Tamandua tetradactyla: one gene and its partner. The protein of the gene in region 2 binds, or shares a complex with, the protein of the main gene of each other region. Links are inferred from orthologs where the notes say so. Each region holds a gene or a part of one and is shown on either strand. Other genes may lie near its edges. The genes, in order: PTHLH and KPNB1.

Region 1 (11,769 bases), on a different chromosome or scaffold from region 2:
TCCTGGTTTATTTTTAGCAGAAAGCTTATTGAAGTCTTTTCAGTTTTGTAATTAATGTTCAAGGATTGCCATTAACCTCACAGTATAAGATGGGACCAGAAAAAAATTGTGTATACGGTTTGAGTGGGAATATTGATCTTTAAGTAGTTTGCTGTGTGTTTAATGGAGGTGGTAGGGGGGTATTCTATTATTTTCGTTTCTCCCGATTTGACCTAGGAGCAATGAATCTCTCACCAGAATATAATTCACCTTTAGGTAATAGTGGCTGCTTATATATTTAGGATGTGTCAGTCTCCTCAAGGCTGGGAAGTATCATAGCCTAATATAATATTTGGCTTTCAAGTTTTGGGTGTGCAACAAGAAGACCAACAGACTTTTTAGCTAAAATCCACTCAAGTTATTAGAGTTTGGACATGAACTTGGCCTGCCTATGCCACAGGGAATACAAGTACCTTCTTTCAGGCTCTGGATGAAATCATTAGTGATGTCAACAACTCCAGTGATAGACCTGGAGACACTTTGCACTACTTAGCAAACAAGCAAGTTTCCCAAATGTTTAGAAGCCCAGGGAGGATGTTAAAGATCTGTATTCATTGAGCTTATTCTTCTTTCCCTGCAAATACCCAAATTCCCCTTGATCCAGTGTCTTTTTTGTTTTACCACACCAGGGTTGGAGCAAGATGAGGGAAATATGTGGTTATGTTGTCCAGACTGTGTATTACAGACTCAAAAGTACACTCTGTTGTACCTCGACAATGAAACTCTTTTAAAAATGTGGGTTTTGGGAACCATATCAACCACCTTTGAGTTCCCGCTCCATTTGAGGCTATCACAGGTCTTTTGAAGAACAATTTAACTACTATAGACATGCACACTTTTGCCTATTAAGAACAGCAAAGAATGTGTTTTTAGGACAAAAAAAAATTTATCCTTTCCACAAAAAGAAACTTCTTTTTTTTTTTTTAACTATTAAATGTACCTTGAAAGTTCCATACAAGTAACAGCTTAGCAAGATGAGAACTAAAAGAGTAAAGTGCGACAGAATTCTGTAAAGGTCATTTTAAATTTCTTAGCATAACACTCCCACATAATAGCTGATCTCATATATTCTGATGCATCAGAAGTCCACAATTTTCCCCTCATTTACCAGTTTCTGGGAAGTGAAGCACAAACAAAATGAAGGAAAAAAAATCTTCAAGGGAGCATATAATATAATACCATGCACTAGACATTAGGGAAAGAAAGATTTCTAAAACTTAATAAGATACAGGATGCCCACCAAATCCGCCACAGTTTTTAAAAATTATGCTTTACAAAAGATTCCCAGCAGCAGATCAAAGAACTTTATACAAGAATGTTGGAAAACACATCTAAAATAATAAAATATGCTTTTATTCCTCAAAAATGAGGAGGCAGGTAGAAAGAACTGCAATTCAATTTGAATCCTCAAATATCTTCAAAAGACCTACTCTGGACTCATGGCAATTTTGGGGATATTGTGAAGGTGAGCAGAACACAAGCAAGGGACTGATGAAGTTTTTTTAAAAGCTCATAGACAATTATACCAATTGAATGCTTGCCTTTTGAAAGCCCAAAAACAATTTTACAACTCTAACAGAGAGCTGGTACAAAGTTCTAATACTTTCCCCCAAAAAATTTATTGATTTAAATGGATAAAAAGATGAGACCTTAAAAAAACTAATAAAAAAGACACCGGGGAAACAATTTTTTTTAATAAACTGAATAGAATTAGACTGAACTTTAGAGGGAAAATTCTCAATTGGTTTCACTATGAAGAGAGGCAAATATTACATTACAGAGAGGGAGAAAGAGAGAGAGAGAGAAACTTTCCCTAAACTATATGAGCAGATAACATATAAAAGAATGAAATCTGTTTATATGCCTCACTACCATTTTATCTTTATTCTTTCATAGAAACGAGGCTAAAGAGATTAAGAGGGGAAGGCTGATGCCAAAGAATTTATAGAACAAAACTAAACTTCTAAGTTGCAAATTAATAATAAAATCTTTTTCAGGGTTTGTTTTATACTTTTCAAGGAAATGGGTACACATGCAAACCTTGTTCAATTATTTTTTAAAATATCCAGAGTCAGGGAAAGTAAAATGTTTTATATCAATTTTATTGACTTGGGAAAATATTTTTAGATGAATTTACAGAGATATTCCATTTTCTTCCACTTAAAAAATATTATAGAGCCAGAAATTGAGGGGGACAGAGAGAAAAGCTACTAAAATTATTAAATCATAATAGTTCTATTTTACATCAGGCATTCTGGAAGTTGTTTATAAACACAAATTCACACACACACAAAGTATAAAAACAGCAAACAATGATGTTCTCCAATCTTATGTCTTATATGAAAACAAATAAAAAGTTCCTTTATGCACAGGATGGTAATTAAATACCCTCATAAATAAAGGCACAGAACACAAATTAGATTTATAAATATTTAGAATATTTCAGGGTTTTGTTTTGTTTTTTTTTGTATATAGGGGAATTCGTTATTCAGTTGGAGACTTGGAATCTCTAGTAGAGATAAGTAATGATTACCAGGGGAAATTAAAAGATAAAAAAGTAAAATATAGTGAGAATTAAAAGGGCAAAACATCCTTTGCCTTGAACACATATAAGAGCTTAAGTTCATAAGCATTTCTTCATAAGAATATGTCACGACAACCGGGCAGAATTGTGTCTCAGAACAAACCTACAAGTACGACCCTCCCACCCCCCACCCTCTCCCACCCCACTCCGGCAATTTCTTTGCTTCTTGCTTTGCTAAAAGAAAAGTGGCAATCAGACAGACACTATTCCCAGGGCTCTCGTGTATAATGAAGATGTTGTTCCTCCAAACAATAATAAACTGCAAAGGACCCTGCCTAGGAAAAGAACTGACCAAAAACCCTGAGACACCTGGCAACTCCCAACAGCAGCTTGCCCACGCCATAGAAGCGGATGTTGTGCACATTACCATAGCATAGCGCAAGGTGCAAATGCAATGGTCAGTTCGTGGATGCTTTTAAGAAACTTGAGAAGCATATCGAGTTTATCAACTTGCTTGTAGCTTTTTAAAGAACAGAACATTTTAAAAGGGAGAAGAGGGAGGTTGTGGAGGTGGGCAAACATATCTTAAATTAAGCACGTGAAATAGACTCTCAGGAAGGGCAACTAAAAGGAAACCCCCTGTTTAGACTCAAGAGTTCTTTTCCACATTATCTCTGGAATTCTGCCTCTGTGCAATTGCGCATCCCGGAGTTGTGCAAAAGAACACATCTAGTCTCATGCCCGGCGCACAGGGGCTCAGTCATTGGGAGACTCGGGTGCGAGGGTGTCACAGTGCCTGAGGGTGAGGTGGGGTGGGGGTGGGGGTCTTCGCCTCACCAGGACAGCCTGAGCACGCCGGTCAAGGAGTCTTAACCACCATGGACAGCTCACAGGCTTCCTCCAGCCAGCTCCGCGCCGTTTACAAACTCCATAGGAGCCACCAGCGAGGTTGATTTGTATGCCCTGGAGAAATGCCCTGTGTTCCACAGTCTGCACCCCCTGCGATCGCCAACTGCAACCACTGAGTTGCTATATATAGACAAAGCAAGTTTCGGGAGTTAATACTCCTCTTCTTGCCCTCAAATAAGTCCTTTAAGGTGCCTCCGGATTCTAAGAATCAGACGGAGAGAGTTGACAAAGACAGCTTCGTGCCACGTCCCTTCATTTCCTCTCCTCGTCTCTCACTGCGCCCGCCCAAACCTTGGCTTTACGGATCGTGTTAAACGAAATAAAACAGACTGATCCCAGGGCTCCAGAAGCCAAGCTTCCCTGGCGCGGGGGAGGTGAGGAGGGAGAGAGTGAGTCTCGGGCCTCTGGAAGGAGGGGAGTCGTCCCTCCACACCCCTACTTGCACCCAGCCCTGGACCTGGAAGTTGGGGGTGGTGGTGGAATGTCTGCCCCCCCTCCCCCCACCCCCTTCCACTCCCACCGGGAATATATCATCACCATATGCTTTGGGGCTTATCTCAGGTTTGAGTCATAAATTGACCTGGAGGGAGAAGGGAGGGAGGGCCCAACTTGGAGGAAATTCTCTCGCTCCTTTGGACCCTGGCCTCGGGACGGGACGGGGACTTGATGTTCCCAGAGCTTCCGCTCTCCTGCAGCGTTTGCGGGGCCCCTGCTGAAGAAACGGGGGGACTGGGCAGGCACTCTAACGGTCCCAGGGTCTGAATGCTTGTACCTAAAGGGGCGGGATGGGGAGGAGCGAGAAGGCTGCAATTCCAACGCTTCAGGCAAAACGGATTCTGTGCCGCAACCAGGAGGCCGGATTTTTAGGGGGACCGCCAAGGTGAACCCAGGGAGCTCAGCTAAGTCTTGCCAAGGGGCTACTCGCCTCTGAAGTTCCAAAAAAGCCTAAGATCCCGGTCAGCCAAGCCCGGGTCCTCCCTAGGGATCATCTCTGCAATCAGAGACCCACGTCTGTCGCGGGAGGTGGGGAGCTAATAAAGATCATCCCGTCGCCCCTCCACTCCCGCTCCCCGCCTCTTCCAAGACCCGGGATCCTGCTTTAAGGGACACGGGCCTCCCCTTGCAGCTACCCGCGCGCAAAAGCTAGGCCAGGAGACCCCAAAAAGCGCGGGCGAAACTTTCACGCTTGATGCCTCCTGGGACCTTTTTTTCGGACTTCCCCAGGAAGGGGGAAGTCAGGGCCGGAAGACACCGTAATCATGAGCTCAAAGCCAAGCAGACTGAGCGCCTTCAGTGTGGGTGTCTGGATGCCTTTCTGCCTGAGAGGATGGACACTCTAGTCCAGGTGCAGCCTTAACGAGATTGGCCAGATTTGCAGCGGCGGAGAAAGGTGTTAGAGAGGTACACGGCTTCCCAGGTCCCAGCGACTCTCCCCAGCAGCGCCTACCAGGCGGCTCCGGCCGGAAATGAAGGGACGATTCCCACCCATCATAGGGCAGCCGGGCGGCGGCCAAGAAGCCTCTGTGGGGCTACCCGACATAAATTACAGGTTGGAGGATTGTAGGATGAGCCAGGTGGGACTTGGAACTCCCTGTGCTCTCCTACCAGCTCAGAGCTTCCTACTTAGAAAGAGCCAAGGATTTGGTCTAGCCAAGGGCGTGGGGTAGGCACCGGTCCAAGAGATCAGGATTCGGACACTACACATTTTTTTCTCGCTTTCTTTCTTTCCACGATCCCTACGCCCATCCCTGGGGAGAAGACTCTTCTGCAGAAGTGTTTTTATGGTTATTGGTTTGGAAAGTGCACAAGCACTCATTTTAGAGAATTGGTCCCAAGAGATCCCATTCCTTAATGATTGTTTCATTGCATGTTGGCTTGAACTCCTCCCGGGAAATTAGCCTCACGTCTGGTGCCTGGGAAAGCTGTTTGGCCAGGAAGGAGGGACAGGTGAGGATGGGTTAAGGCCACTTTTTCAAGGGAGCTATCCAGTCAGCCTGATGCATAGCTAGGCTCTGTACCCTGAGGCAGTTCCTTCAGATGTCGCCAGCCATCTCTTCCCAGAGGAGAAGCCTCTGTTTGAGTTTTAATTCTTATCTAACTACAAAGAGATTTAATAATGAAACCTGCCCTTTTCTAATTCTACTTGGAATTTAAAGGTATTACATTTCCTTTTCTCTTTTGCTACCTTGAGGTCAGCTGGCAATAGCCATTTCTCAAGTCTCAGTATGGGCAAGTGAGTAGAACCCTCTTGGAATGGAACCAAATGATTATTTGAACTGGTTATGCAAACTTGTCTATGCAAACAGAAAAAGGTCAGAGAAGAGAAGGGATGGATTTAGTTGTTTGATTTTATAGAACTTTTTAATGACCTTCTTTAAATTGTAATTGAATTATCCATGAGTATAAAATAATTCATACATAATGTTTGTTGTGACAAACAGCATGCTTTCATGGGATTTCAAAGAAAAGCTTGGAGCAACAGATTGGCAAATGTTAAATCTGGATGCCTACTGGGAATAAGACAAGGAAATTTCTGAGCCCAGGTGCACTAGGCACTTTTTTTGGTTTGTACTATTATTTATTGGCTTGTTGTTTGGACTGAGGAAGCAAGAAAGAAGAAAGACAAAGAAGCTAAACATAAACACTACTTTATTTTTTTGTAAATTCCAAGAGGAGATAGCCCTGGAGATATGTCAGCTGGTTAGTCAAACATGAATTTAAAACTACATTCAGAAATATAGAAAACCTCTTTTAAAAATTGGGATAAAACACTGCCAATGGGGGTTGGAAGATGGAAGTCTGGGACTTGCCTGTGGGCTACGTATTTGTGTAGGTGTAGATCTCACAATGCCAAATTCTGCACTTGAAAACACTTCAGATTAAAGGCAGGCCTTCAAAACATCCTATTTGCTAGGTGCATTCATGAGGATAACAAGGCCTAGCAAAACATTCAGATTCTTTATTGGCACTGGTTCTTTTCCTAAGCCTCAGCCTCACAAAAAAAAAAGGCAACCTCCTAACATGCCTCATTTGCAGTCATGTGTCCTCAACATTACTGTAGAGGTTACTCAGCTATATTGGGAGCTAGATGATGTCAGAAAATATTCTTTTCCAAAGAGACAGGGCCTAGGTATATAATGAGACAAATTTCAGACTTTCTACTGTGGGTAATAAGCAGGGCAGCTTAGATGAGGTGCCTGCTTTCTAATAATTACCTTTGGTGAAAGCATAAAGGGCTCCTTACAGGAAGTTTTAAATTCATTTAAGATTTAATGTTACTTTTCTAAAGAACAAAAAATAATTATTTCAGGAAGAGACTGCTGAAAAGATCTCCCTCTTTTGGCCAGAAGGGCAGAGAGAAGACTAAATCAAGAAAAAGGTGAGGTAATAAATTAAGAGGAAATTTCCATATTTCAAGTATATAAAGACTATTTATTTTTCCTGTGTCTATATATTTTTTCTTTTCGTGGAGGAGAGGAAATTCTAAAAATACTTGATAGATGTTTTACCATTAACACCAGAAAAGAGTGGGGGGGGGGGGGGGAAGAAAGGCGGGAAGGAGAAAGGGGTCAATTTTGTTTAAGTAGAAAAAGCAACATAAATCAAAGCAGTTTATTGAAGCCAGTCTTTCGTTTATAATGTTCTGGGAGTATAATGAATTTATTTACAGCATAAGTGATTTAATATTTTCAATGTGAATTTTGTTTTTAACCTTTTATTGGGAGAGGGTTGACTTTTTAAAGCCTGAGTAGTTTAAAACTTGGCTAAGTAGCCTTGGATTTTTTTATTATGGAAGCAAATATTATCATTTTAATGTGAAACATCTTGCAAGTATTAAATAGCTTGTTTGTGATTTACTTTTTACAGATTTCCCCCAGATCTAAAGATTACATTAAGTCTCCTGCATCTTTTTTGGAAAGAATTTATTATAAATCAGAAAGTGTTAGAGGTTCAAAGGTTGATATTTCTTACTGCTATTTCTTTCATGCCATGAAAACAGGTCTAACATTTAGAAATTCTTAAACATTCAAGGGAAGTTGTGGAAATTCCCAAACATTTTGGGGGGGGGGGGTAGTGTGGAAAGCAAGTCCTGTTTTGTTTTTAAGTATAGAGTTTAAAGCCATCAAGTGAGGGAGCTTCTGAAAAGGGGTGCCTCGAACAAAACCAAGCATCAAACATTAACTGTTGTTAACGCGAGAGGAGCGGAGAGGAGCGCGGGTCGGTGAGAGGGCGCTATTTCACCCATCCTTGGTAAAATGGTGTGGTTCCTAAATCGGAAAGCCAGGCTTGATAAAGGTCAGACCCCTGAATCACCTCACGCTAGCCTTCCAGAGGGTTGTAAAACCTACCAACAGCATAGCCTGTCTAGAAGATAAATATCCCTTGAATGCTTCCCAACCATCCGCGTTCATTTCAGAAAGATAGAGGAGGCCCATTGGGCGAATGCCCACATCCGCTGCAATCCTTTTATAAATGATACTGCCCAGTAATTCAGAGCAGTTTTTCTTCCAGCCCAACGGCTTTGGGAAGAGCCCTCTGCTTTCGTAGTCTCTCCTGGGCAGAGCAACGTACAGAGATTGTTCCGCTGCATCTGTGGGCAGAAGCAGCCGTTCAGCTCACTCATCCTAAAATTTGTACCAGGGGGTTGGAGGGAAGTGGCGAGAGAGTAGGGGATCTGGAGTTAGGGTAGGTGAGACTGCTGCCGGTGTGCGAAAAGAACCGTGTGCTTGACCCAGGAGCGTCATCCTTCAGCAGTTCAAAAGGTCTTCATCTTCTGCTCGGGTTTTCTTGGATGGGCTCCAGATGTCCCCAGCTGGTCTCTGAGACAGCAAGAAATCCTATCCCGATCTGAAGTCTGAATCCGTTTTTGTTCTTCTAAGCGAAAGATCTCCCCGTCCCTGGCAGATGCTCCCCACTTAACTCGTCCCAGTAAAGAACCAGAGAAAGGGTTTCCATCACGCGCCCCGAGCTCCCCAGCGAGCTTAGGGTTCCTTAAAGCCACAGGCCAATGGCCCGCGACCTCCCTGCCGAGGCTCGGAAGAGCCCGCGCTCCCCTTCTTGGCTCCTCTCGCCAGCCCGCCCACCCGGAGCGGCTGCTGTGACTCGAGGGGGACCGTCACGCGAGCCCTCCGGGACCCCGACTCCCGGATCCGCGGCGGGCGGCGCAGGGCGAAAGCGAGCGGATCCGCCTACGCCCCCGACCCGGGGGACTGAGCTGCGGGGCCCGCGCTCCGGGGTGGGGCCCGGCGGGCCGGGGGCAGCGCCGGGGAAGACGGGGGCGGGGGGCGGGGGGCGGTGCGGCTCGCGCGCATTTCGGGTTCCCCGCGCCCCTCCGCGAGCTCCGGCCGCGCGTCGCCGCCCCCGTCCCCCGCTCGCCCCCAGCGCGTTCCTAGGGCGCCACCTCTTTGCGACTCGCTCACTTTTCCGGCAGGTTTGCCTCCGAGCGTGTGAATATTCCTCTGCTCAGCTTTCACCTCGCCTCCAACCTGCGCCGCCGGGCAGGCATGCCTCCCCGCCCGTGAAGCGGGGCTGCCGCCGCCCCTCTGCGCCGCTGTTAACCCGCCCTCACTGCCACCTGGCCCTCCCGATCGAAGACACACGCACTTGAAACTTGTTCTCAGGGTGTGTGGAATCAACTTTCCGGAAACAACCAGCCCACCAGAGGAGGTAGATAGACAGCTATGGATATATATATGGGTCTCGCTACAAGTGGCTCTGGAACCAAACGGCCTGATTCGCAAAGAAGCTGACTTCGGAGGGACAGGGAGGAAGGCTTTCTCTTCTTTTAGAAGGGAGGTAGCCCTGCTTCCCGAACCCACGAGAGCCGCTGGCCTAATTAGACACTGCTACTGGAGACGTATAAAAACACTACTCAACCTCGATGCATATATAAAACCATTTCATTTTCGCTATTATTTCGGAGGAAGCGCCTCTGATTTTTCTTTTTTTGGGGGGGGGGGGGTCCCTTTTGCCTGTGTGTTTTGGAAAAAGCACAACTGGAGTATCTGGTTCCTAAATAAGTAAGTGCTGAGATAGTCTTCAGAGAAAGTGTGTGTGTGTTTTGTTTTACTATTTGCAATGTGAGAGATCCCCCTTGGTGTTGAAGAGGCTATTTGAGAGCAGACTAAAAGGGGTCGGAGGGGACTGCAGGGAGATGGACAGTCCAGACTGACATTTCGGGCTCTTTTCCACTCTGTTGCAGGTCCAGAGAGCGAGAATCGGATACGATGCTGCGGAGGCTGGTTCAACAGTGGGGCGTCGCGGTGTTCCTGCTGAGCTACTCGGTGCCCTCCTGCGGGCGCTCGGTGGAGGGGCTCGGCCGCCGACTGTGAGTGCTCTGTCCTCCCGGGGGCGCCGGGTGACGGCTGAGGCCAGTGAGAGCGGCTGCCAGGCGGGGCGCTGCCCGGGGCCCGCAACGGTCACAGATGCTCCCCGCCCGGGTTAGATAGCTAGTGATCAGGCTACCTGCGGAAGGCCGAGTCCTCCGACTGCCGGGGAAAACTGGTTGAACCTCAGGGACAGACAGGCGGGAGATAAGTTATAAATGGGTTTCGGTAAGAGGGAGCGTTTTACAGAATCTCCTCTAAGCAAAGATCCTCTGCCCCTAGTGAAAGAAAACGGTTACTTTCAGAACCTGGGAAGATTTTGAAACTCTGCGGGTTACAAGAGAGTTAGATAACTAGGAAGAAGCTGAGGAGTCTTAGGGGACATATGTGTGTGTGCACTTGTGGGCATACTGAAATGTGGCAGTTTGTGTGTGAAAAGCAAAAGGCTGACATCTAATTTTATTATGAATGACATAATTTTAAGCACATAAATGGCACCATATTACATAATGAAGGCACATTATTATATAATAAAGTAGTGACAACTTTGCAGTGGCACTATTTCAGTGTTAGTATTGATGCAGTTCAGCAACACTAGAGTGCTCAATTTTAGATGTGGAAATTTTTCTTGAAATTATTTCTAATGGTTCTTTAATATATGTCTAATATTTGCATTGTAGACTGAAAACTTTTAATTTGGTATTTTCAATTGCTGGTTCTTTTAAGCTTAATTTTGACTTCAGCATAAACATACATCCACACACACGGAGAAGCATCGGGGTGCCCTTTAATTGAAAAGCTGGAAGAGTGGTTTAGAGCAATATGTAACATTATCTTAACATCAGTATTGTGATACAGTTTTTGGATGGTCTTAAACTGCAAACTCAGTTCAGTGTTCTAGAACACTCTAAAGTTGAAGAACTAAGAAGAGTTTGACTCTGGAATAGGAATTGAGACATTTTTGTAATTGTTATACTAACAACAAAAATAGCAATATCTAATATTTACAATCAGATTCATAGAGTATCATTGTAAATTCTCCAGGCTGTGCAAAAAGGTAACTGTTTTGCATGTGCCCTTGGTCTATTATTATTAGAGCAGAAAATCCTTAAGTAAAATTACTTTAGACATGTCTGAACCTTGGCACCAAAATGAAAATCTATTATGAATCTCCCAAAGCAAATTGTGTAGAGCACTGTACTGAAGATAAAGCTGAATCGTATTCCTCCAATCAACATTTTACTGATGTACTTCTGAAAATTATCTCTGGACTTTTGCTCATTTTGAGACTTGTATTAAGTTCAATTTTTTTTTTAGTCATAGATAAATACAGGCGAAGACTGAATTTTTAAAAGCACATTAAATGCTATATTTATTTGGCTAAGAAATACTGTCTTGGAACATAGCCAACTTTTTCTTTAATGCTGTTTAAGAAGTAGTTGCTTTCTCTTTCTGATAAATAATAAATGAACCATGATTAAATCCACAGTTATGAAATAAAATACTGCTAAGTTGTCCTAACAGCTATTTTTAACTCTTTCTTTGTTGCACCTTGCAAAAAAACACATGAAGAAGCATTTAGCAGCCAGAAACTCTGTTACAGTTTTGTTTGTGGGTGAAATATAATAGTGCAGTCAAACGCTCACACTCAGCAGACAAACTACCATGAAACATTCTTGTAGTTAATGGCTAATAGATCATCACATTACAGTCATGATTTTTCATAGAGGCAAAAATCATCAGTAGATGAAGATGTTCCATCAAGTTATTACAGCCAAATGGAGTTTTTAAAAAACAAGTCATTATTTTTGCATTGCTGCCAAGTAACAGTAAATTCTGTGTGCTAGACAAAACAGTCTACTATTAAGCTAAATCAAGCTAGTTTCTTGAACTAGCTTGAAAGAAATTTTAACGTATAGTCAAGCCATACTTCTCCCCAGTTACTCTTCACAACAAGTATTAGGGGAACTG
Region 2 (11,998 bases):
TAGCATTTTTAGTTGATGTGAAATGGTTATTTTTATTTTTTTTTTTTGCATGGGGAGGCACCAGGAATCAAATCGAACTGGGGTCTCTTGCATGGCAGGAGAGAATTCTGCCACTGAGCCACATTGCATCGCCCTCTCCTTGAGGTTCTGATTTGCATTTTCCGAATGGCTAATGATATTGAACATCTTTTCATGTGCTTATTGCACCTCTGTATAACCTCTTTCAAGCAATGTCTATTTCAGTCCTTGATCCATTTTTAATTGTTGTTGAGTTGTAGGAGTTCTTTATATATTCTTGATACTAAATCCCCATCAGATACGCGGTTTCCAAATATTTTCTCACATTCTGCAGATTCTTTTCACTTTCTTGATAATTTCCTTTGATGCACAAAAGTTTTTAATTTTGATGAAGTCCATTTTGTCTATTACTTCTCTTTTGCTTGTGCTTTCAAAGTGAAGTCTAAAAATCCATTCCCTAATACAAGGTCTTAAAGATATTTCCTTATGTTTTCTTCTAGGAGTTTTATCTCTTATTTAGGTTATTGATCCACTTGGAATTGATTTTTGTATAGGTGTAAGATAGGAGTCTACTATAAACACCTATACAAAAATTAATTCAAAATTATTTTGCATGTGGAGATTCCATTTTCCCAGCACCATTTGTTGATGAGACTATACTTTTCCCATTGAGTGTACTTGGGACACTTGTCAAAAATAAACTGGTACAAAAAATTGGTTTATTTCTAAACTCTCAATTCTGTCCATTGTTTTATATGTCTGTCCTTTTGTCAGTACCACATCATTTTGATAAATGTAGCTTTGTAACAAATTTTGAAACTTGGATGTGTGAGCCCTCCAACTTTGTTCTTTTCAAGAGGGTTTTGGCTATTTGGGACTGCTTACCCTTCCTTATGAATTTGATAATTCACTTTTTCCATTTTGTAAAGACAGTTGTTTCAATTTTTACTGCAATTGCATTGAATCTTTATATTGCTTTGAGAAGTACTGACATCTTAACAACATTAACTCTGCCAATCCATGATCACAGTATGTCTTTCATTTATAAATCATCCTTTTTTTTTTAAATGCAGTCTCATAAAGAGTTGAACTAATTTAAATTCTTAAAAGTACATTTTGGAGTGGGGGGAGTAATAAGTTATATCAGTTTTCATTTAAAATTGAATTATGTTAGGAAAAATATGTCAATATTTTAATGGTGGATATAATTAAGGATTACAAGTGATTTCTGCTTCTTTTTATTCTTTTAAAAATTTCTATAGTGAGGAGCATGTATTACTTTGATAATCACAAAAAGAACAAAGGAAGGAAATAAAAAATTGAGTGAATGAAAGCAGAAAGCAGCTGAGGATGTTTGGCTCCATCTCCAGGTTCTTTGGCAAAACAAGGCAGGCCGCTAGGATGGGTGAGGAGAAATAACTAAATAATTTGCTCCATTTAGCTTTGCTCAAGCTTCTCTGAGATCCTCCCAAGTTTGGATTCAGGATGCTTTTACCAATTTGTTCTTTATTTGATTTTTTTTTTCTTCTGTCTCCCCAACACTGCATCCCTTTTAGCTCTGGGAAGAATACGTTTAAAAAATCATCACCTATTTTCCAAAGATCAGTTACAGAAGGATAGTTGTGTCAAGTGATATAGGGGCCTTGAGCTTAATAATCCTTTTTGAACATTTTTCCCTACCTCTTTTCTTTGATTTTAATAAAAGAAGTTCTAAAACTTTTTCTGATTAAAAAAGCAATACATTAGGGTGCATGGGAGGGTCACTGGTAGAATGTTCACCTTCCATGTGGGAGATCCGGGTTCAATTACCAGACCATGCCCCTCCAACCCGCCCAAGAAAAAACAAACAAAAAAAGTAAGTAAAAAAGCAATACATTTTCATCAAAGAAAACGTGGAATACACTGAGGAGAACTAAAAAAGCATAGAAAAATTATCTGTAAATCCAGAGACAGCCATTAACAACATTTGGCTTATACATTCCCACTTTTTTTTTTCTCTTCAAGGTTACAAAAATATAACAAAAACTTTTTTCTTTGAACATTACATAACACCTTATATATTTTGCATAACTTTTTAATTGAAGTATACTATGCCTACAGAAAAATGAATGCAATCAACTAACCTTAAGTACACAGTGTCCCTTAAAGCAAAGAGGCCTAGATTTAACCCCTCTACCAATCAGTCAACTTTGCTCAGTAGAAAATGGCATCAGGGTCATGGCCTCACTGCTCCTCCCATCATAGCGAGTCACCTTACACATCTGTGCTGTGGGTCATAAGGGGGACTGATTAGGAAAATTTTAGCTCATCTCTAATATTTACTAATTCACCCACATAACAGAAACTGCTGAAAATCTCCTGGCACAAGATAATTGTAGCGAGTTCCTTCACAGAGGGGCTTCCATTTATGCTCACACCACCCTATGAGATGTTTCACAGATTCAAAAGGTTACATAGCTTGTTCAGAATCACACAGAATGAAATAGTGGAGTAAGACAAAAACGTTTTTTTCTCTTCAATTTCAGAATTTGTTCATTTTTTAAAATTAAAAAGTGTATTTATTATGAATATTCCCAACATACAAAAAAGCTATAGAGAATATAAAAAACTATGTACTCCAATACACAGCTCAGGAAATACAAGCTGAAATTCCCTGCCTATTCCTCTCCATTCTACTAAACCATGTGGCCTTCAATTTCTCTCATTCATTCCACAGTACAAGCCAGAAATCCGGTAGACACAATACACTTCCCTCTTTTTCGAGACAATCACCAAACCAACTGATTTTGCTATCTACTTCTATTTCCATCATTATCCCCACCTTTCTCCTTGCTACAAGTATCATCTCTCACCTAGATTACTGCAATGGCCTGCTGACCGGTCTACCTGCATCTATTCTTGTTCCTCTCCAATCTATCTCCACATCACAACCATCCTTCTTGAAACCTTTCAATAGCTCCTGTTGTATCCCCTATATGATACAGATAAAACCCCTTTCAGTCTGCAAGGTCTCTTATGGTCTTGGCCCCACTTAACTCTCCAGCTTTATCACAACCCCTTGTTCTCCATGTTTTGGGGTACTGGCCTTCTTTCAGTTCCTTGAAGACCCCAAGGCCCTCCCACCAAGGGGCCTTTGCACATGTTGCTCCTCCCTTCATCACCTGAGTAACTAACTCCCTTCCCATCCTCTAAGCTTTCCCTGAGCCTCTGTCTGGGTCATTCCTTGGCATCTTTCACTTTCATAACTTTATATTTGGATGTGAGATTAACTAAATCTATGTTCATTAGTACACCGAAGACCAAAAACTTCTGAGCACAAAATACAAGCCAAATAGATGCATATTTATACATCTATATATACATAATATGCCAGGTAGTGTTATTAGCACTTAATATATATTAACTCATTTAGTACCTCCCAACAACCCTATGAAGTAAATACTGTTATTAGCTCCATTTTACAAGTGAGGAAAGTAAGTCACACAAGCTAAGAAGTGGTAAAGCTGGGTTATGAACCCATGCAGTCAATTCCCAATGTGTTGCCCAACGCTATGGGGCTTCACTAGCATTGTCAAATACAGAAGAGTGCTTTGGATACAGCTTGTCACCTATCACCTAAACACTATCACCTGTAATTATTCAATTTTGGTTTTGGTAAGGATCTTATATATGATGGAACTCTGCTGCAAAACTTATCTTCCCAGCATTTTATTTCAGTTAGTTTAACAATCAATTTGCCTTCCGAACTATGGTGTATATTACAATGGAATATTGTGTGGCTACAGAAAGGAATGAAGTCCCATGAGGTGAACAAACTGTGAGGACATTATTTTGAGCAAAATAAAAAAATAAAACCAGAAAGAGAAGGACAAATATTGTATGGTCTCTTTTAGAAACTATATTATGAAAAAATTAGGAGCTAGATTATAAACTCTTACAATAGTCACATTTATTCCTAAGATTTAAGTTTTACTTCTAGATTCTGAGATGCTATGCTCTTTGTGTACAACCTGTTATTTACCTGGAACTTTGGGTACTGGAGTGACAACTAAGACTCAAAGTGGGAGTTCTGTAGCTTTCAAAGACCTACAGCAGGGCCATGATGGCTCAGCGGCAAGAATGCTTGCCTGTCATGCCAGAGGACCCAGGTTCGATTCCCGGTGCCTGCCCATGTAAAAAAATAAAAAATTTAAAAAATAAAAATATAAAAAAAAGACCTACAGCAACTGTTAAGTCAAAAAAAAGATTAGACTTCAAGTAGAGATAAGAACAAAGCTGATCTGCTTGGGACTGAGGTAAATCAGAATACATGGTAAATAATGTTATTGTCTGTATTATATAATTCATCTACTATATGAAACTGAAAGAAGAGATGCTTATTTTATCCAAACTTAAATTTTCTGTAGCACACAATCTAACAACCAAAAAATCAATTTGCCTTCACTGGCGTTATCATGACTAATACTGAGCAGAGGAGATGGCCCATCAAACTTCTGGAGGGCAGGAAAAAGTTGGTTTGGAGTGAAACAAAATTGTGTATCATTCAGTGAGTAAACCACGTCAGGACAATTCAAAGACTGTCCTGTGCTCACACAAGCTTCACTGATTCCTAACAAAGTTAAACTTCATCTATCAGTTAACAGATGAAGCAAAAGGCTGGAGCTAGGTGGAATACTAAACCTGAAAAGATCAATAAGTTACAGGATGGTGTGAGGAATGGTGTCCCCTCACTTTCAGCTTCAGGACTGCAGATGTCTCTACTTTTCGTTTCAGAGGGTAGCTGGCCAGATTTTCCTATATCTTCAGTGGAACCTCTCAGCATGGACAAATTATCTCCTGGGTTTTCCCAGTGTGGTTCAAGTAGGGCAATTACTTCGTAACACCAAGGCAAATGAAAAATAACTCTCTTCAATCAAACCTATGATCAATAAGGTAAAAAAATTTAACAGTCTAGGAAATTCCTAACCTGGGGCCCATGTACTATGCCACGTTTTCTTTATGTGCATTTTGCTAATCCTTTATGCCCATACACCCATTCTTTCTGGTTCGCAGATGTGTTTTATAAGGTAACCTTTGGAAGATGAAATTCATCTCTATTCCTTCAATTACCTGGTAGCTAAAGACCGGGCACTTAAGAGGAATCCAAATGCCTATCCGTATTCGAGTTAGGACTTGTTACAGCACAGGCCTAAAACCCCCCCAAAAAATGTAGGACTGCTAATGCATTCATCTCCTTGGAGGGGAAGCCGCATGCAGGGTGAAGGGCAGTCAGGGGCACTACAGTCTATCCTGACCAGGCCACTATCCGGCTGTGTGACCTTGTAAAATTCCATACCCTCTCTGGCCTCAGTTTCCACATGTGCAAAATTAAAGTTGAACCAAATGGTCTCCAAGGTAGTTCCCAAACGAAAGTCTGGTGCCAAATAGACCTAACCATTAAAACAGCTTCCTGTGAGCGCGGCAGAGATTTAACGGTCTCCCCTCCCCCGCTCAGGACCGCCAAGCACTCACACAACACACCCCTCGGAGCAAGGGCGCTTTCTCAACCGCAGCCCGAAGCGGCCCGAGCAAAGCGCCGCCCCTTCCCGGGGGCGTCCCATCGTGCCCTGCGCCGGGCACCCAAAGCACCCTGGCGCCTCCCGCCTTCCCGCGGACCCGACCCCGAACTCTTCTCCCAGTTCTCCCGGGCGCGCTATCCTATCGACGTCTAGTATGCCAGCCAATCACCCGAGCTTGGAGCCTTGCCTTTAGTCCATCCTCCTCCAAGCGCTCAGCGTGTCTAAGCTCAAGGCCTTTACCAGGCCAATCCAACCCGCTGCCGGCTCTCGCCGGCCCCACCCCAACCTCCCTCACGTCGGCCAATCCGCGCGCTCCATTTCCCTGCCCGCCCAGCCAATCCGGGTCATGAAGCCAGCGGGCGAATTGGCGCACGGCGGCCCTTCAACCCTGCCCGCCTGACCAATTGGGGATTCCGCGTGCCCACGGCAGCAGCCAATCGAACTGGAGCGCGGTGCCGCCGCGGCGAGGTCCGGCCCGAATATCCCTCCGCCTCCCTCCCTCCCTCCCTCTCTCTCCCTCCCTGCGAGTCGCCGTTCACTCACTGCCTCTCTTCCTTCTTTCTCCCTCCGCCACCCGAACACCAGCCGCGATCTGAGCTGCCCCCGGGGTGCCTACCCCACCGCTACAAGAGTAGTTGCCGCGGCCGCCAGCAGCAAAGTAGGAGGGAAGAAGGAAAGAAAGAAGGAAGGAAAGGGCGCCGGAACTACCAAGAGGGAACCGGTGAATGGGCTTGTGGTGACCCCCGCCCCCCACCCCACCCTCCCTTCCCACCCGACCCCCAACCCCCACCCCCAGTTAGAGCCGCCGCCCGAGAGGCCGGACCATCGTCCTAGGGGAAGTCGCTGCTATCACCTCCGCCATGGAGCTAATCACCATCCTCGAGAAGACTGTGTCTCCCGGTAGGACGCGGGGGCTGGGGGTTCGGGCTGAGGTGATTTTAAGTGGGGGGAGGGGAGGCCCAGGCCCCTTTGACCCTGTTCCCTTTCCCACTTTGCTTCCCCCCAGATCGGCTTGAACTGGAAGCGGCGCAGAAGTTCCTGGAGCGTGCGGCCGTAGAGAACCTGGTGCGTGCAATCCCGCCGTTCCCTATCCCGCCGTCTCCCCATCTCCTGCGTCCGGGGCCTTCCCGCCCTCCTGGAGGCCCAGGCCTCGGGAACCTACCCCGCCCCATCCCGTCCCCCTCCCCCCGCCCGGCTCCAACCTAACCCCGCCATCGGGAAGCCGGTGGGTGTGTCCCGCCCCGGGCCCCTGAAGCTGGCCAATGACGCGGCTCACCGGGGTGACTGCCGCCCAATCATCGCACGGCCTGAGGGCGGCGGTGCAGCGGGAGGGAGAAAGAGGGAGGGAAGGGAAGTTAGGTTGCGCCGCGCTGCGTGTTCGGCGAGGGTGGGGGTGGGGGAGCCGGGCCTAGGGGCCATGTGGAAGCTCAGAGCCCAGCTGCCCGCTCTGCTCTAGACCCGAACCGGCTTCCTCTTCCTGTCCCATGGCCCCTGTGGTTTTCCATCTACTTACCAGACCTCAACTCTTACCGATTTAGCTTGGCCTGTGCTCACCGCCAGGCCTAGCACCCGAATGCCAGTTAACCCATGTCTCCTAATATTTCTCCCTATACTGCCTGATTTGTTCTTTCCTGGGTTTTTTGGTGTTTTTTTTTATTTTTTTAACATCCATGAGTAGATATTTGGAATCTGTACTCAGACTGGGGTTCATTCTTGATCGGTCCTATTTCCTGAGGAAATCACAGAGCAAAGTTCCTCATTTTGGAGTTTTCAGATTTAAGGAGCACATTTTCTGTTTGAGAATGTGGGATGGATTGATTGAAACAAGCCGTGTGCCACTTGCTTCCCTTCGGTTTCCCTGTATTTGGGAGGATGTGGAGCAGAGGGAAAGGTGGATGATACTTGACATCTTTTGAAAGTATAAGTAATATGTAGTTAACACTGTAACCAAATGGGTCACTTTGAGTTATTTAGATAAAATAATGTAAGAAAGAAGTGGCAAGTCTTATTTCATACAAACTACCTTTGAATAGTTTCTTCTGCTGATATTTTTACCCTTAATTTTCCCCAGAAAGGATTTTTCCACTAGTATAGACACCCGTTTCTGCTTTTGCTAATTTGCAGAAGCCTTCATACCTAGCATGTTATAATGATACAAAACTAAATACGACTTTTAAGAATTATCTTCTGATGTGAAAATTCTATGGTGAACAGTAGTTGTTAGTAGTCAGAAACTCTCCTTTTGGCTTTTCCTGTTAACTTTTACATTTGAGTAGGGCTTTTGGGGGTGCAGGAATGTGTGTGTGTGTCAGAAATCGTAAGGGGTGTGGTTTGGGGACTTGTGTGTTATAAGAGATTGAATATATTTTTTAGGGCTCCATTAAGTTTCGTGGATAACTAATACCAAACTGTATAGAGGCTTTTAGCCATTTATATTTGTCATATTCTTTGGAACAATTTGCCTTGACAGTTTTTATCTTTTCAGTTTTTCTCTATCCCAGTTTCTAATACTTATCACTAACTTTTTCTTGTAAATCTACTTTTTTTTCCCTTTGTTCCCCTTTTGCTGAAAGTTGGTTCATGCTTGCAACTAAAGTACAGAGGACTAGGCTCCTCAATCTGTTTTAGATTTCCCTACAAGTATTTTCCTCTCATACAAGATTTTCTGTTTTCATGAGATCAAAAGTCACACTGAAATTCTTTTTGGACTAAAGTTTTTAAAAGAATATCAATTTTACATTCCTGTCATAACGTTAATTCATTCAACGTATACTTAGTTACAAGCACTATTTTAGGCGTTTGGGACATTTCAGCATGAAGGTCCATTGCCTACCAGATTGCAAACTTGCTTTAAATCTGGGGATGTGATTTGAAAACTTGGGCTCTAAGAATGACCTTGGTAGGAAAATCTGCCACTCTTGTATTGTTTGCCATTGCCTGAGAAGACTATTTACTCATATGTTAAGTTACATTTAAATGGAATTTTTGAAGTAGATATTTTGGAGTTTTCTGTGGCACTAATAATCTGTCCTTAAAAGGAAAAAAGGTTTCATGCTCCATAAGCTATCCTCAACTGGTGAAACTCCTACCAGATATTTTCATTCGCAAATACATCTCTTAACAGCCCACTTTCCTTGTGGAACTGTCCAGAGTGCTGGCAAATCCAGGAAACAGTCAGGTTGCCAGAGTTGCAGCTGGGCTACAAATCAAGAACTCTCTGACATCTAAGGATCCAGACATCAAGGCACAGTATCAGCAGAGATGGCTTGCTATTGATGCTAATGCCCGACGAGAAGTCAAGAACTATGTAAGTAACTTTCTCTTTTTCGTCATAATGTTTAGGGATTAAACATGTTGGTTCTTTTGTCATTTGCTGAACTGGAGCTCACAGTATGATAGGTTTCAGGAACCTGAACCTCACTTGAAGATAAAAATTGTGCTTGATTTAAATATTTTTCTCAGTTCAACTTGTCCGTTTTCACTGATGGAATGGACTTATTTTCAGATAACCTAGGTGGACATAGCTGTTTGGGAAAACTTTAGATCGGTGATTAAAGGAATTTGTAGAATCCATTTGGTAGATTGGAATGGTACATAAATTGGTACTTCCGAAACTTGGGTATGTCAGAATACTTAGGGAATTTGCTAATAATATTATAATATTAATTTCTAAGATTTTTCTAGAGATTCTGATTTAATAGGTCTAGAATAAGTTTCAGGAATTATTTTTAAAACTGTCTTCCCAAATGATTCTTTCACAGACATCCAGCACCTAGTTCTTAGTGAAGTTCTGCTGCAGATAATTGTCATGCTTTGGTGATTTAGCCATGGCAGTGTGTAGTATAGTCAGAAGAGACATTAAAAGATCTCTCGAGCCTTTCAAGCCCAGAATTTATGAAATAGGGATATGACATTGTGCTTTTATCTACTTAGCAGATTATGAAACACTTTCTTTAAGAAAGATCTGTTGTTTTTTTCCAAGATGTTCGAAAAGTTGGGATAACAGATATTCCTAGTATGTGAAGAAAATTGACTATCTGGTTGCTTTGCATCATGAAGTTCATATGACTTTGTTGAATTAGAAATGCATCGTTCTAGCTTGAAGCAAAGGACTCAGAATACATAGACAGGTGTGCTTTCTCTTTTTCTAATTAGGTTCTAAAAGTGGACTGTTTTTATAAGGCACAAAGAGGAGTAAGTTTAGCATCTGTGCAGTCATCAGTGGGTCCTTGATATTTGAGGAAACCAACATGGGATTGCTACATGTGTACCTGTGTGGGTCTTAGTTATCCTCATCATATTTGCCATTTCCTGGTTGGTTCTAGGTGTCAGCATTAGCTGTTTACTTCCTTTCTGCTCCAGTATTACATGGAGTTGTCTGCAACAGAAACTGTAGGTTAGAAAGCCAGTTTATTTTGAATCTTCTTTGGAATATGTGGAGCTATTTCTATCCACATTGAGTCTGCTTATATAATAATATTTTAATCCCCCTCTCCTGGGCAATTTTATATAAATGAAATTTTCTCCTTCACTGGAAGTCTTGATGACTGTAGTGCCCATTTGATTTTTTCTTTATCTTCGAATTACATAATACTAAATGAGATAAGACATGATAGAAACTATATTTAACATTTTTTTGACATGTCACTTAACACCAATATTTTGTAAATTTTGAATTACATAAGCATGGTTGAACCCTTGTGCATGAAAACAAAAAGCAGTCATCTTGACCATTTTACCTTGATTGTCTTTTTTTTTGGTTTCGTTTCATTTTTTTTAATGTTTTTTAAATTTATAAAAACACAATACACTGAGAACCACCAAAAATGGGATATCTTAGGCGTATTTAAATAAAGTATCCAAATAATCATTGTAAAATCTGTGTTTGTACAGTAAGTTTCATAAACCAATTAAAATTAAGGCAACAAGGAAAAAATCTACAAATTCAGATGGCAGAGTTTATTAAATTCTAAATATTAATTTGACCAGTTGTCAAACCGAATGTCTTTTATAGCACATCTGATAATTAATACTGTCTCTCAGTACTGATGGTCAGTTTTCTTTTTTGAAATGTGAATCTTAGGACACAATTGAGCTAGTTTCTTATTCCTCTTATTCCGCATGAGTATTATTAGGGCCATCCCTGGTTTAAAAGAAATTTCACTACTCAGGTATTAAGATATCTGTAGTCAGCTCAAATAATATATTAATTAATGCTCTTCTAGAAGCAATTTACAGGAGAAAAGGTAAAGGTAGGATAAATTAAGTAATCTCCAGGTATGTCCCAAGAGACTTGGTGTAGTACATTACAAAGGCACCCTGAACTAGAACTCTTAGGCTTGGGTTAATAGCTGGTCAGCCACTTCCACTTGACAAGTTATCTTGATTTTGAGATGCAGATTTTGTTCAAGTTCATTCTAGCTCCACTAGTCTTAATTTAGAATTAAGCAGAACTATTTGTAACTGGGTAGAGCTGTTGAGAGTAAGTAGAGAGTTTAAGGGAAAAAGATGGTGACTTTATTATTAGCTACTAGCTACAGAGCATGATACTAGGTGACCTCACCTAGTCAGCAGTACTGGCCCGGATATCTGGCAACTATTCTTTGTCCTCTGTCCATGCTAGGAACCATTAACTGTTTGCCTTTTGAGTGGACTAGTAATTCTCAGTGAGTTCATTGACTGAGTTAGCTGATCATGGTAATGATTAATCCTGGGTCAATTGTGATTTCATCCTGTCTTTACAAAGCCTGAACATAAATGCTTATATGTTAACATTTCAAACAAGACATGTTGAATGACAAGCCTATCTTGGCATATCTGTCTAGTTGTGTTGATAGGGAAAGAACATTTTTTTCCTTCTTATTCTGAAAAGAATAAATCAGATTGGAAGTTAAATAATGATAATTCTTAGGTGTTTGTAACATTAGTAACTTTGTTTCCCATCTAGTGATATTGTTGCTTGCTGTGTAAGTCACCCAGGGTGCTTGTTGTCAGTCACCAAAAGGAAGTTAGTTTGTTTAATAGATCATGAGGGGAAGAATCTCTTCTTGAATCAGGTTTTAGACGGTAATCTACTGTGAATCAGATCCACCTGAATGCCCCAGAATTGGCCTTGTTCTGTGAACAGCCTTCCCTTATATCACCAAAAGGGGTCTGGAATATTAATTTTGACCTCCCCCACCTCCCTGCCCCTTACACCACCACCACCACTGCCGCCACCGCTTCCCTCTTCCCTTCTAAATGCTATTTTCCTACCTTGCATTGAAGTGAGGTATGTGGCTTTGGAGACTTGTTTGGAAACAAGGATGGCCCTTCTGTTTCTCAAGTTCTGGGAAGTTGGTTGTGCTGACGCTGGTACTTTGGCTGACTTTTTTTCTATAGCTGGCTATATACTGTATATGACTTCTGTGCATTTCTGTTTT

What was found.
Region 1: the proteins of KPNB1 (region 2) and PTHLH are in contact, whole or in part, in a crystal structure (PDB 1M5N), measured with the Homo sapiens proteins. The link is inferred for Tamandua tetradactyla from reciprocal best matches to the Homo sapiens genes KPNB1 and PTHLH. Residues at the interface, in NP_002256.2 of Homo sapiens: Val55, Tyr104, Pro106, Gln111, Glu152, Tyr156, Gln159, Asn196, Leu199, Asn200, Gln239, Glu274, Gln278, Glu281, Asp288, Ile295, Ser298, Glu299, Asp339, Asp340, Trp342, Val350, Met353, Glu395, Trp430, Arg434, Glu437, Asn469, Trp472; in NP_945316.1 of Homo sapiens: Tyr103, Thr105, Gln106, Glu107, Thr108, Asn109, Lys110, Val111, Glu112, Thr113, Tyr114, Lys120, Thr121, Pro122, Gly123, Lys124, Lys125, Lys126, Lys127, Lys129.

The regions. Positions count from the first base shown.
Region 1 is NC_135333.1:91,193,033-91,204,801, reverse strand, and holds the start of PTHLH (parathyroid hormone-related protein), read left to right. Parts: upstream 1-6,649; 5' UTR 6,650-6,851; intron 6,852-8,939; exon of another isoform or gene 8,940-9,492; intron 9,493-9,674; 5' UTR 9,675-9,699; coding exon 9,700-9,800; intron 9,801-11,769. UniProt on the Homo sapiens protein: Neuroendocrine peptide which is a critical regulator of cellular and organ growth, development, migration, differentiation and survival and of epithelial calcium ion transport.
Region 2 is NC_135332.1:29,004,089-29,016,086, forward strand, and holds the start of KPNB1 (importin subunit beta-1), read left to right. Parts: upstream 1-6,082; 5' UTR 6,083-6,436; coding exon 6,437-6,476; intron 6,477-6,582; coding exon 6,583-6,641; intron 6,642-8,700; coding exon 8,701-8,883; intron 8,884-11,998.